Coturnix japonica: one gene and its partners. The protein of the gene in region 2 interacts with the protein of the main gene of each other region in a biochemical or structural test. Links are inferred from orthologs where the notes say so. Each region holds a gene or a part of one and is shown on either strand. Other genes may lie near its edges.

Region 1 (4,271 bases), on a different chromosome or scaffold from region 2:
TTCTTGATTAAACAGCAAACAAACCCAGTCCTGGCTGAGTCTTCAATCACTATTATGTAATTAGCTGTGGCCTGTGTTGCTTCCTTAATTCCATGACCAAAGCTCTCATTAACGTCACCAGAAGCAACATGGAGATAAGCCTCCCACTGGGACGGCAAGGTGAACATCTTTCTTTGGTTATGTGTTGTGTGAGAGCAGACACTAGGCCAAATTTCCAATAAATTTGGAACCATAACACTGAACCGCAAATTAGGGAGTCCCAGAAGTTATTTACACTCATTAGCCCATGTTTAGCTGTGAGCTTCTGTGGTTAGAAGGCTGGTAGTGTCTGAAAGCATGAGATTCAAGCTCATACAGGTACACCAGCGCCACTCTATAATGACTCCTGGGTCTACATTGTAGTTCCTCCCAGCTCATCCTTGGACAAACTGGGGTGACCTCCAACACTGAAACGTGTGTTTTTCCGCAGAACAGCCCCTTTCTCAGCAGAGAATGTGTTTTCAGACACACTTAGCAATAAAATCAAGCAACAGTATCCAGGATCTTCCTACTGAAATAGCATAAGATCAAAACGTGAAAGTTTCTGAACAACTAAACCCTCAAGGACTAATGGATTTTCAGAAATATGCACCTGAAATATTCTAATGTTTTGCTTGGCTGCCATGCTACCATCTATTTCTGCCTCTAGAGGAATCTGCCAAGATAAGGACAAAACCTACAATTTCATTCTCATTAGAAAGAGCTTTCTGCCTTTAACAACATACAGTTATGTTCTAGTAATGCTCGTGCTCAGATGTCCCTCTGTCCACACACACGTGAGCTCCCCTCTTACCTTGTCCTTTGTCTATAAAGCTGGTTATTGTATTGGCAAGTCCAGCCTCCAGTTTTACACTTCCATTAACACCTTTTCTTTCTGCGTCTGAGAGAGTCCTGTACAAAGAGAGCATGTATTCATGTGGCGTTATAGGGGGCTGTCTGAAAGCTTCCTTAGCTTCCCTTTGGGTGACAGGCTCTTTAGTCTTTTTCGTTTTGAAAGCGCTGCTATCAGCACTGCTCGTGCTGGGTTTTTTCAAAGCCGTCTTGCTGCTAAGATTTGGGACCTTTGGAGTCACCGTCCTTACTCCAGAAGGTCTGCTCGGGAGATGTCCTACCTTTGCCTCTGAGGCAGCTGCTCTTGAAAGAACCCTCTGTGATTCGTCGTTCTTGGCCAGCAGAGCTCCAGGCTGAGCAGCATTGCTTTTAGTCCTTGCCTTCGAGGTCCCGGTGCTAAATCCATGGTTCGCAGCCCGTGGCGTGCCTGCCCGTGCTGAGGGAGTCCTCTCCTTTCCTTCTGCTTTTAACAAATCTGTTTTAGACCCCGGATTACTCTGGCCTGCTTCAGAATTGCTCAGTGCTCCAGGAACTAGATCCAGAGACAGCCAAGTCAAATGCCAAAGCAGTAAAGTGAGAAAATGCAGGATTTTCATCCTCTGGTCTTCCTCTGAATGCCGCTAAAGAAAAAATCAGGGAAGGTTCCTCCAGTTTGGCAGAAGAAAACATGAAAGAAATTAAAAACCAAAGTCAGCAAAAGTGGTTTTCGATCGAGATTAAAACATTGCAAATCTGGTTGTTCAGTGCTCGTATCCAGTCCCATAGTGGAAATGCTCCTGCTCTCAGACGCGCTCTCCCCTGACTTCAGTTCGTGGCTGTAAAGGGCTCGTTCTTGAAAAGAGAAAGTTTACCACCTCGTTTTCTTCTGTAAAACTGACTGAAAAGTTGAAGGAGTCCTGTTTAAATCGGAGGGGTTTTTTTTCCGAGAAGGAAGAATGGCGTAATGCTGCCTCTGTGTTAAAAGGGCTGTTTTTTTTTTTTTTAACGTTTTGAATCCTTTCCAGTGAAAATATTTCACACACAGAGACCTGCAGGTGCTCAGAAATCTTTTACAAACCTGAGCTCAGGAATTGGAAACGGAATTCCAACAAACCGATTTAATTACTCTCTGATGTCATGCTGTCTAAACTAATTTAACTGCGATATATTTCTTTAAAAAAAAATCTTCTTTGCCCTTTTCATGAGCATGACTCATTCCCTGCCTCATGTGAAACAGCTCCGCGGGCTCAGGGCTCCAGAGGACGCGTTTTGGAGCGGCGGCACAACCTCTCCTTTCGCCTTCCATCAACTTCACGTTTAAATGGGACAAACTGCGAGACGGACAGCCGGGACCCGTCCTGCGGCCCACGGGAACGCGCACATGAAAGCCTCGGTGCGTAACCCCGTCCTGCTCCTTATTGCTGGAGCTGCGGCTTCGCTTTGCCCTCCAGCGACTCAGCTAACGAGGCAGGCGATGAATTTGGTATAACGCAGCACCGCCGTGCCCGCAGTCATCGCATGTTGGTGTTTTTATTGCTACGCTTTGAACAAACCCGCGTAACCCAGCTGCAGGAGAAGGCTGTGCAGGCACTGCTCCCTGCAGGCGGCCCCGCTCCTGCCAGCAGCACGGCTCGGGCTGCTCTGAGCCGGGGCGCAGCCGGGACGGAGCTTTTGTGAACCCGAATGTAGGAGAGCTCCCTGCCCACAGACAGGGGAAGGATGGGAGGAGGGAACCGGAGCTGCTGACGTGGGAAGGGTATCTGCTGCTGTCAGCTGTACTCCGGGGAGCACGGAGCGAGAGTGTCTTTCATGCAGTACAAAAAAATGAGCTGTTGTTGTTCTGAATGAACCTTGGGGAAATGAGGCACTGGGCTGGAGTGAACGGGGATTAATGGGACCCTTCTCTCATCCAGCGCTGTGCTGAGCCCAGCCCTCCCCTCCCAGTCACTTATTCCTGAAGCAAGAATAAAGGGGATAGATACAACAGCCTCGATTTTAGCTTGAATTGGACGTGCTGCGGCATTTTCCACTCTGACATGAAATTACTTTCATAAATAACAACCTGCAGCCCTTTCCATATGACACGCTTAGAATGCTTTACCATATTCCAGTGGAGGAACCAAAGGGCAGAACAGCTTAGTGACCGCACAGATGTCACAAATGAGGGAGAACAAAAACCCCACCCTCTCAATTTTGGCCTAATTGCCATTTCTCTGCAGTCAGTTTGATGTTTCCCATCAAAACAAAGCAGCTTTTCCACGAGTTACTTCCAACAGGCCCCTTCCCCAACAGTTCCTTCGTGCTGTCCCCATAACCCTCAGCCATGCTGTCCCTTCCTCCCACCCTCATTATCCACCTTCCTGCAGGCAGACAGGTGTGCTGTGTTGGTTCTGCCCACAGAAACAGCCAAGTGCTGAGTTCATGCTCTTATTCTATGAGGGATGCTCTGAAAGTGATGCCTCCTACTGTATGCTGTTGGCCCATGATGACAGAGGCAGGTGTTGGAGGAATGGCAGTAGAAACTGAACCTTCCCACCCACACGCTGTTCCTTTCTGCTGTTATATGGCAGATGGCAGCAGAGGGAGAGCCTGATAGGATGGCATCTGACATGGAGTCGCACATGGAGCAAAGGGATGGAATCACATTCCTCCATGTAGAAAAGCCAGCACCCAAACACTCTGTTTGGCTCTGTCAGTGTTACTGTATGTGTTGTATCTGTTGTGGTTTGCATGGAAACCTATCTAGGAGGCGTCACTTTTGGGGTACTCCAGTTTTCACAACACCGGTAAGAGTTCTGTATCTTTAAGATCTCTCCTGTTCCATCAAACATGGTTGAGATTCACAGATACAGAAACGATTGGGCAGATGGACAGGAAAGGGCAGAAGGTGAGACAGTGTGACTCCATAGGCCTTGTCTCATGGTAAATCAGACTAACAGCACAATTGGTCAAATGCTCACCCAGTATTTACACATCTGAGATGAATGTAACTTTCCATTTTTATTGAACACCAACTGATACTGCCAGTCACAAGTAAAAGAATGAACCAAACTGGGGTGAATCAGTCTCACAACCAGGACATGGGAGCAGGAGGAGTGTGAAGCTGGAGATGCTGAGCAGCTCTGCGGGAACTTCCCTGGTGGGCCAATGGGGACAGAGCTACTGTGAGCTGCTCTGAGCAAAGCCCCAGGTCTCCTTCAGCTCTCAGGAGGCACCACCCGTTATTCCTGTCCCCTGTGTGATTTCAACCAGATTCTTCTGGCCAAACTGCTATTCCTGGAGCTTGGCCCCTGGGGCTCCCGCCTGTCACCAACACGGTGCTGCGATGTGAGCGCTGTCAGACCTCTGCGCTCCTGTGGATCTGCCCATCTGATGTTTAATCCGCCATAGCTGAATTCACCTCCCTCACATTCAGCTTCCAC
Region 2 (3,500 bases):
AGGTACTAAGCTGTGTACTTCCAGCAAACATGTAGTGGTTGTAGCTGTAGTCTGGGAACATTTATTATTACGGGCAAGTTTCACTGTAGCTCTCATTTTTCTTCTCTTCCACAGAAAATGACGATTTAAAGGGAAAGTCAAGGAAAGATGCATATGTTTTCATAGGCAAAGAGAGAGCTAGGGACAGCAGTAAGACCAGAGATTTCACCTTCAACCAGCTGAGGCTCCCTGAGATGGAGAAAGGCATAAAGCATGAACTGTCATAACCAGGCGTTTTTCCAGCTTTCTTGTCCCAAGAGCATCCTTTGGATGAAGTATTGCACAGTGAACAGCTACGAGATAGACCAGGCCACCTGCTACCCTTGTGGGCTGCTAGGAACACATCCTCTCAGACAAAAAGGACCAAGTTCCTTGTGTTTGCTCTAATTGCAGTATTTCTTACAGAGCCATAGAAACAACTAGGTTGGAAAAGACCTTCAAAATCATCAAGCCCAAATTCTGCCACTATAATGAGTAGTTACAAGTGCAGAGCAAGACCTTGATGCGGAAGGCATACAAAAAGCAAACCAATAATATTAAGAATCCCTCACAGCGAAATAAATTGGAAACTAACATTATGAATGATCCTTGAAATTAACTATGATATATTCCTTTCCATGACAGAGCTTTCCTAAAGCCTAAATGTAAATGATGGAGTTTTTCCTCAACAAAAGAAAATGAGCCCATCCAACCTGGCTTTGAACACCTCCAGGGATGGAACATCCACAACCAAACTGTGTCCACTTTTAGCCAGCCACTCAACCTGTCACCTCATTTCAAGGAAATAAAGTTTCCCATTTATTTTTCTATTTTAGGTTTAGAAAACAAGACATGAGAGCAAAAATAAACAATAGACAGCACTTGGAAATTGGGCAACATCACCAGTAATAGGACCGCTACAAACTAATCAGTTTGGAAGAGACTAGGGACATATAATCTCTGAAGAAAGAAAACAAAATCTAATTCGTGCTGTTCTTTCAGTGCTAAAAAGCAACAATGGCCCTTGAGAACACAGACTGCTGAACAGAATTGTTTTGCTACAGAAAGTAAAGCATTGCCTTTTCGGCATGTGAGCTGAGGGGGTTCAGTCATCCTGCAGTCAGTTCAGAAATAATGGTAAAGCTCACTCCATCCCCATGCCTTTAACCTTTGAGATTACCTCAGTACAAGGTAAAATAATTCATTCTTGACTTCTGAATGCAAAGTGAAGTCTGCACATAAAAAGGTTCCGCACTCGATGAATTGCAATTTCTTTCACATAAAGCCTACGTGTCAGTGTTGGAAAAGCTATTGTGTGTTGCACATAAAAAGTGAGAAAATAAGACTGCAGGCTAAACGCTGTCATTTGCACTGGGGTAAATCCTGATAAATTTCTGTGGTCTCTGTTGGTCTCTATTTCCTTCGTGGTATTCTCAGTTAAGAGAGGAATTAAAAAGAAAACAAAAGAGAACAACTAAGATTTTTGGCTGAGTATACATGAGGAGAAAAAAAAAAAAAAAAAAGAAAAAAAAAAAGACAAAAAAACCTCACTTGATTCTAATGCAGGGGTTTGTCAGCTTAAATCCTTGTCAATTCTAGGAGAAAATAAATAATAATAATAAATAAAAGACAAACCTTAAAGACACTTAAAGACACAATGCCTCCTTTCAAACATTTAAAAGCAACACCATTTCTTGTGCACCGTTTTGTTTCTCCTTTTACTCATTTTTTCCTAGTGAATTGACATTCAGATAATGTTGTTTCCTTACCAGGAGAGGGAGCCCGGAACCGCTGCCTGAGCTCTGGGACTGCTCGATCAGATCCTTCAGGGACTCTCCAGGGGGAATGTAGGTCTCGTCCTGCTCCAGCCCGATGCTGTAGCGGGGCCTAGCTTCCTGCCGCTTATACCTGCCGTTTGTACACCAACGTTAGCTTCCAACGTAGTGAGCAGGGGTACAAAGAGTAAAGAATGTTATCCTCCACATCAGCCTCATATAGAGACAAATGGCTTCCTCGGCTTCTTAGACCAATATTTTCAGTTTTATTACTAACAAACCGTTTTCAGCATCAAACTTTTAAGTATAAAACTCAAAGACTGTGCCCCGCATGCTATGAGCTTGCAAAGCTAGGAGATGCTTTTCTTTCAGCACCTTAAAACACAGCCCAAATAAATATGTGCTTTTATTTTACCAACTGCAGTCTTTTAAAAGTAAAAGAAGGAACAGCTGTGGGACCCGGGAGTATTTAAAAAACGCAAAAAATGTTTTGAACGTATGTAGATTATGATAATACTCTAGATACACTTTCATTCCTGTATTTCCCTCTTTTTTAAGATCAGTTTCTCATCACTTAAACACACTAAGAAGCCTTAGGCTTTTGTTGTTTTTCTGTATAAACTTTGTCCTGTGACATTCTCAGCTTCACTAAAGAGCAATCTGTGCTTCAAACCAAAAGGCTTCTTATGATGCTGGGTGAAAGATAATACATGGGATTCATCACTGAGGTATGTCTGTGATTAACATGAACAAAATACACATTCTTTTCACATGATAAAATTACATCTTTTTCCTTTTTTCTTTTTTTCTTTCCCCATGAGGTTCATCTTAAATATTTCAAAATTTTGAGTCCACAAAAAGAAAAAAAGTTAGGAAGAATGCTAACGAGCTGATAAAGTGCTCCTTATTTACCTGAAGTAGCAGAATATGATGATAAGCACCAGAAGTATACTACAGACAGTCACCGAGATCAGCAGGGCCTTATGGTGAATGTTTCCTTCAGCAAAGTCTGGAGATAAAACAGAGCAGCAGGAGGAAAGTGAGAAAATTTGGAAAGGGAGATGGTACAAAGTCAGTGTGAAAAAATGCACACCGAACAAAAGGTTGATGAAGCTGTGGATGCCCCATCCCTGGAGGTGCAAATCCAGGCTAGATGGAGCTTTGGACTGTCCCTGCCCATAGCAGGGGGGTTGGAGATAGATGGTCTTTAAGGCCTCTTCCAATCCCAAATCATTCAGTGATTCTGACTCTGTGATTCTACTACAGCTCTGAACACGATGCCTATGGATTTCACTGGGGTTTTGTGCGCATCCTCATTGGGCCTCACCAGCAGGGCAGAACCAGCACCCACAGGAACCCAGGTGCTGATAAAGTACTTACTCTGTCAAAGCATGGATTTGCAAATCACTGTTTGACTCTGAATGAAATCAATTAGGAAAATCACACCAGGACTCGTTGCTTTGTATCTTAACCTATGTGATCAGTGAGGACATGAAAAGATCTTAAATCTGTATCTTAAATCGCTGGCATCTGATCGCAGTTAATGTAACAAATAAATAATTGTGTTTATCCTAGTAGGGAAAAAGAGTAGACCACCCAACCCCTGAGAAGGCAAACCACTAAAGGCTTTGTCGGCATATTTCCAGCACTGCAGAATAATCCACCCCTCTGATCCTGTTTAAACACTTAAGTGGGCATTTCTTTCCT
Region 3 (4,097 bases), on a different chromosome or scaffold from region 2:
TACATAATGGGCACAGCATCACACTGCTTTCACCTTGGTCGTGAAGAGGACTCGCAGGGAGTCATAAAACTAAACTTTATTTGTACTGAAATGCAACAGAAAAGTTACAGAACTTTTGAGGGCCTTCACACGAGGGTCAGCTGAGGGGGCGTGGGGAGCAGCTGGGTGCACAGTGCTGGTTAGTCCCTGCTGGGCACTGTCCCATGGCACAGCTGCGGCTCACAAGGCGGCAGGAGAAGGGACCTGCCCCAGTGCAGATGCTGCGTCGTGCCCTAAGTCAAGATGGAGGGAGAAGGCCACTCCCAAAGGAGGAGCTGGGAATGGAGGTGTCAAGGTTGTTATTGCTTTAGATTCTCATCCGCAGTGTTTTACATTTGGCTGTAGCTTCTTTGCAGATGAAGTCCCTGAGGGGCGTTTGTGACCCCTGCGGAGGGGCCGCGTCCCACACAGGCGAACGAAAGCCGGGGTAGCGGCCAACCCCGACCCCGAGCGCGGAGCCGCGTCGAGGCGCAGAGCGGCACAGGGGAGCGGGCAGGTGCGGAGCGGGGCAGCGGGCGGGGAGCGCCGCTCCGCCGCCACTGGGGGGCAGCCACGGCTCAGGAACGCGAGCGGCCGCGCGGGTCGGGCCGGGGCCGGGGCACGGGGCAGCGTCCCGGGTGATCCCGGAGCGCCCCGACGGCGGCTGAGCGGGGAGAGCGGCTCCCAACCCGCGGCCGGGCACGGCGGCGGTACGGTGCGGGACGGGACGGGACGGGGCGGGCCGGGAGCCGCTCGGCAAGTCGGGAGCGACGCCGGGGGCTCGGGGTCCGGTCCCATCGCGCGACCCGGCGCTCGGTCACTGTGCGGGGAGCGGCGGGACGGTCCCGTGCGGGCGGACGGACGGACACACAGACTGGCCAGAGCCCGGCGCGGTGCGTCCGGGCGAGGCAGGGAACGGGCGAAGGAGGAGGAGGGAGAGAAGCGGCGAGGGAGGGAGAGACGGAGGGAGGCGGCGTCTCCTTTAAAAGCCGTGCGGGGCCGCGGCCCGCTCCCACAGGGCGGCTGTGATTGGCGCGGGCCCGCGAGCCTCCGGGGTCGTGACATCGGAGCGCAACAAAAAGCCGCGGCCGCGTTCGGCCGCCCCCGTGCATGGTGCGGCGCGGGCGGGACGGGTGCGCGCTCGCAGCGCTGTCCCCACCGGTGCTCACACCCTCCGGAGGGGTTTTGTTGGTGGATATTTTTTGTAATGTAGCTTTTTATTTCGTTCTCCTCCTCGGTTGGGTTTTTCCTTTTTTTTTTTTTTTTTTTTTTNTTTTTTTTTTTTTTCTTTTAAAGGCGCGGAGCAAAGCGAAGCCCAGCTCCCATCTCCATGTCGCTGCGGGATTCCCGGTAAATAGCCGCCCGTGCGCTGCGGGTGATGCGCAGGACGCTCGCGGAAGGCGCCGTTCCGCTCCGTAACGCGTAGCACCCACTCGCGGGCGGGCAGCGCGCACCGAGAGGAGAACGGAAAGGAAACACCGACTTTGCGACCGGCGCTTTGCGAAAGGAGAAGCGCGGACTTTCCTCCTGCCTCCCGCCCGCCCGCCCGAGGCATGTTCCCGAGGCGCTCCGCACCGCGGGCAGCTCCCGTTTTCCGCCCGGCAGCCGCAGAGGAGCAGCAGCAGCGCGGTTCGGAGTAACTCCAAGTGATGCGGGGACCACAGCCCGAGAGCAGCACGCGCTCCCGCAGACGCCAGCCCCGCCGCACTCAGGTACGGCCCCGCGGCCGCCGATCGCCGTCTCCGCAGGATGACTCCGTGCAACACCGGGGGGACGGGACGGAGAGCGGGTAGCGAGCCTTAACCCCGCGCCGAGTTTGGCGGGGGAGAAGAGCGTCCCGCGGCTCCTGCTCGAGCGCGAGCGGCTTTTATTTTTTTTTTCCTTTTTTTTACTTTTTTTTTTTCATCTTTTTCTTTTTTTTTTTTTCCCTCTTCATTCCACGCCGGGATAGCGGGGCCCTCCTCCCTGTGACCGGGGAAGCCGCGGCTGGAATAGCCTGCCCCGGGCACGGCCGGGAGGTCCCTCTCCCACCGCCCCGTCCCTCTCCGCCCCCCGTTCCCTCTGCGGGAGGCCGTGGCCGCACGCACCTGCGCCCGCCGAGGGCGGCTCTCCGGCCACCCGCGCCCCTTCCCCTCGCCCCCCACCCCCGCTGCCCGGCCCGCCCGGCTCCTTTTGATCCCCCGCCGCGGGGATTTGGTGCCGCCGCGCACCTGAGCCCCGACGGGGCCCCCCCGGCCGCGCCGTCCCGCTGTCCGCTCGCCATGGGCCGGCAGCCACCTGCGGAGTGGCCCCGGCTGCCCCCCGCTTCGCGGCGCGCTCCCCCGGCGCGGTGCCCGCGCTGACCGCCTCCCATCGCCTCCTCCTCCGCGCAGGTCGACCATGGTTGCCGCCACCCGCTCCCTCCTGGCGCTGCTGCTCTGCCGGGTGCTGCTGGGCGGCGCGGCCGGCCTCATGCCGGAGGTGGGACGGCGGCGCTTCAGCGAACCGGGCCGCTCCGCCTCGGCCGCGCAGCGCCCCGAGGACCTCCTGGGAGAGTTCGAGCTGCGCCTGCTTCACATGTTTGGGCTGAAGCGGCGGCCCAGCCCCGGCAAGGACGTCGTCATCCCCCCCTACATGCTGGACCTCTACCGTCTGCACGCCGGCCAGCAGCTGGGCTACCCGCTGGAGAGGGCCGCCAGCCGCGCCAACACCGTGCGCAGCTTCCACCACGAAGGTAGGGGCCGAGGGACGGGCGGAGGGGAGCGGGAGGAGTGCGAGGGTGGGACGGAGGAGGGGCGGCGGGGCGGGCTCCGAGCTTCGGAGGGGGTCGCGGCTGCGTTTCCAGAGCCCACCGCGGGCTCCGGGGCCGCCGGTGTGAGGCTCTCGCCGCGCTCTGCCGGCCGCGAACGGAGCTTTCTTTGGGCGAGGCGGAACGCGAAGGAAAGCTTCCCCCGAGCCGCGGCGAAGGTTCCTAATCCCTTATCTAAATCCCCGTGGGAGATAGGCGAAGCGGGCCGGAGCGGCCTTCCCCCGGCCGCCGTCGAGCCGGAGGAGTCGCGAAGCTCGGGGCCGTGCCGCCCGGCTGGAGGTAGCGCTCCGGGGTGGAGGTAGCGCTCCGGGCTGGGGCTCCGGCTGCTGGCTGCCCGTCCGGGGGCCGTACCCAGCGAGCGGCTCACACGGCCGAGATCGCAGCCGCGTGGTCCCGCAGAGCCGTCGGTGCTTGCCGCTGCCCCGCTCTGCAGGAAGCTTTATCCCGGGATGGAACCTGCCCTGGCCATAGTCTCTGGCGCTGGCACACGGCGGCTCTGCTTTAAAGGGAATGGAAAAGCGGTCGCCCCGCGCTCTTCAGGTGGAACAGCTGAGAAAAGAAACGCGCTTAGATTTAATGGTTCTGCTGGACGGAGGTGGCCCCGGTGCCGTTTAGTGGGAAGTGAGATCAGTGGTGAAATGTCACTCTCTCTGTAGCGGGGAAGTAAACAGCAGCAGCGCGTGGCTCGTTCCTTTTAAGCCCGTACGTGGCAGGCGAGGTGCTGAGCAGGACAGGAGCCGAGGGGCACGGAGTGTAACTTGTAGGCAAACAGAGCAGCGTTGGAAGCGGTGGTGTTGCAACAAAGTCTTTGACATGGAAGGCTGTCCTCCGGTTTTCACAAACTTGAGACGAAAATCAACGTGACTCCGTTTTTCCATTGAGTTCTCACTGTTGGTTCGTGACTTCATGAGAGCAGGAGGCTGTGCCGGGAGCGCTCGCACATCTGCATATTTACAAACGCCGGGCTGGTCCCGAAGCGCTGCAGAGCTGAGCCCTGCCTGATGCGGGAAGTCGGGCTGGAGCCAGCAGGGAATGGCACGGGGCTGAGAACTGCTCACGTCAGTGCCAGCTTCCCTTCAGAAAGTGAACGGATCCCCGGGATGCTGAGTAGCAAAAAGAAAACCCAGGATTTCAGAGGGATTATTGTGGGCAAACGCTATTTCTTCCGTGTCTGCAGCAGAAACTTACAGTGTAGCAGCCCTAGATACATAGTACTCCCCCTGAAGTTCCATTCCAGTGTCTGTTGGCTGAAAGGGAAAGATGGCACGGGGCTCAGGGGCTGGTTTGGTTG

The links.
Region 1: the proteins of BMPR1B (region 2) and GDF5 interact in a biophysical measurement, tested with the Homo sapiens proteins (3 studies listed by BioGRID and IntAct, with this or other methods). The link is inferred for Coturnix japonica from reciprocal best matches to the Homo sapiens genes BMPR1B and GDF5.
Region 3: the proteins of BMPR1B (region 2) and BMP2 form a complex in vitro, tested with the Homo sapiens proteins (3 studies listed by BioGRID and IntAct, with this or other methods). The link is inferred for Coturnix japonica from reciprocal best matches to the Homo sapiens genes BMPR1B and BMP2.

The regions. Positions count from the first base shown.
Region 1 is NC_029535.1:1,102,732-1,107,002, reverse strand, and holds the start of GDF5 (growth/differentiation factor 5), read right to left. Parts: upstream 2,801-4,271; 5' UTR 1,467-2,800; coding exon 833-1,466; intron 1-832. UniProt on the Homo sapiens protein: Growth factor involved in bone and cartilage formation. During cartilage development regulates differentiation of chondrogenic tissue through two pathways.
Region 2 is NC_029519.1:52,645,954-52,649,453, reverse strand, and holds part of BMPR1B (bone morphogenetic protein receptor type-1B), read right to left. Parts: intron 2,803-3,500; coding exon 2,706-2,802; intron 1,927-2,705; coding exon 1,788-1,926; intron 1-1,787. UniProt on the Homo sapiens protein: On ligand binding, forms a receptor complex consisting of two type II and two type I transmembrane serine/threonine kinases.
Region 3 is NC_029518.1:13,152,279-13,156,375, reverse strand, and holds the start of BMP2 (bone morphogenetic protein 2), read left to right. Parts: upstream 1-1,297; 5' UTR 1,298-1,730; intron 1,731-2,390; 5' UTR 2,391-2,397; coding exon 2,398-2,731; intron 2,732-4,097. UniProt on the Homo sapiens protein: Growth factor of the TGF-beta superfamily that plays essential roles in many developmental processes, including cardiogenesis, neurogenesis, and osteogenesis. Induces cartilage and bone formation.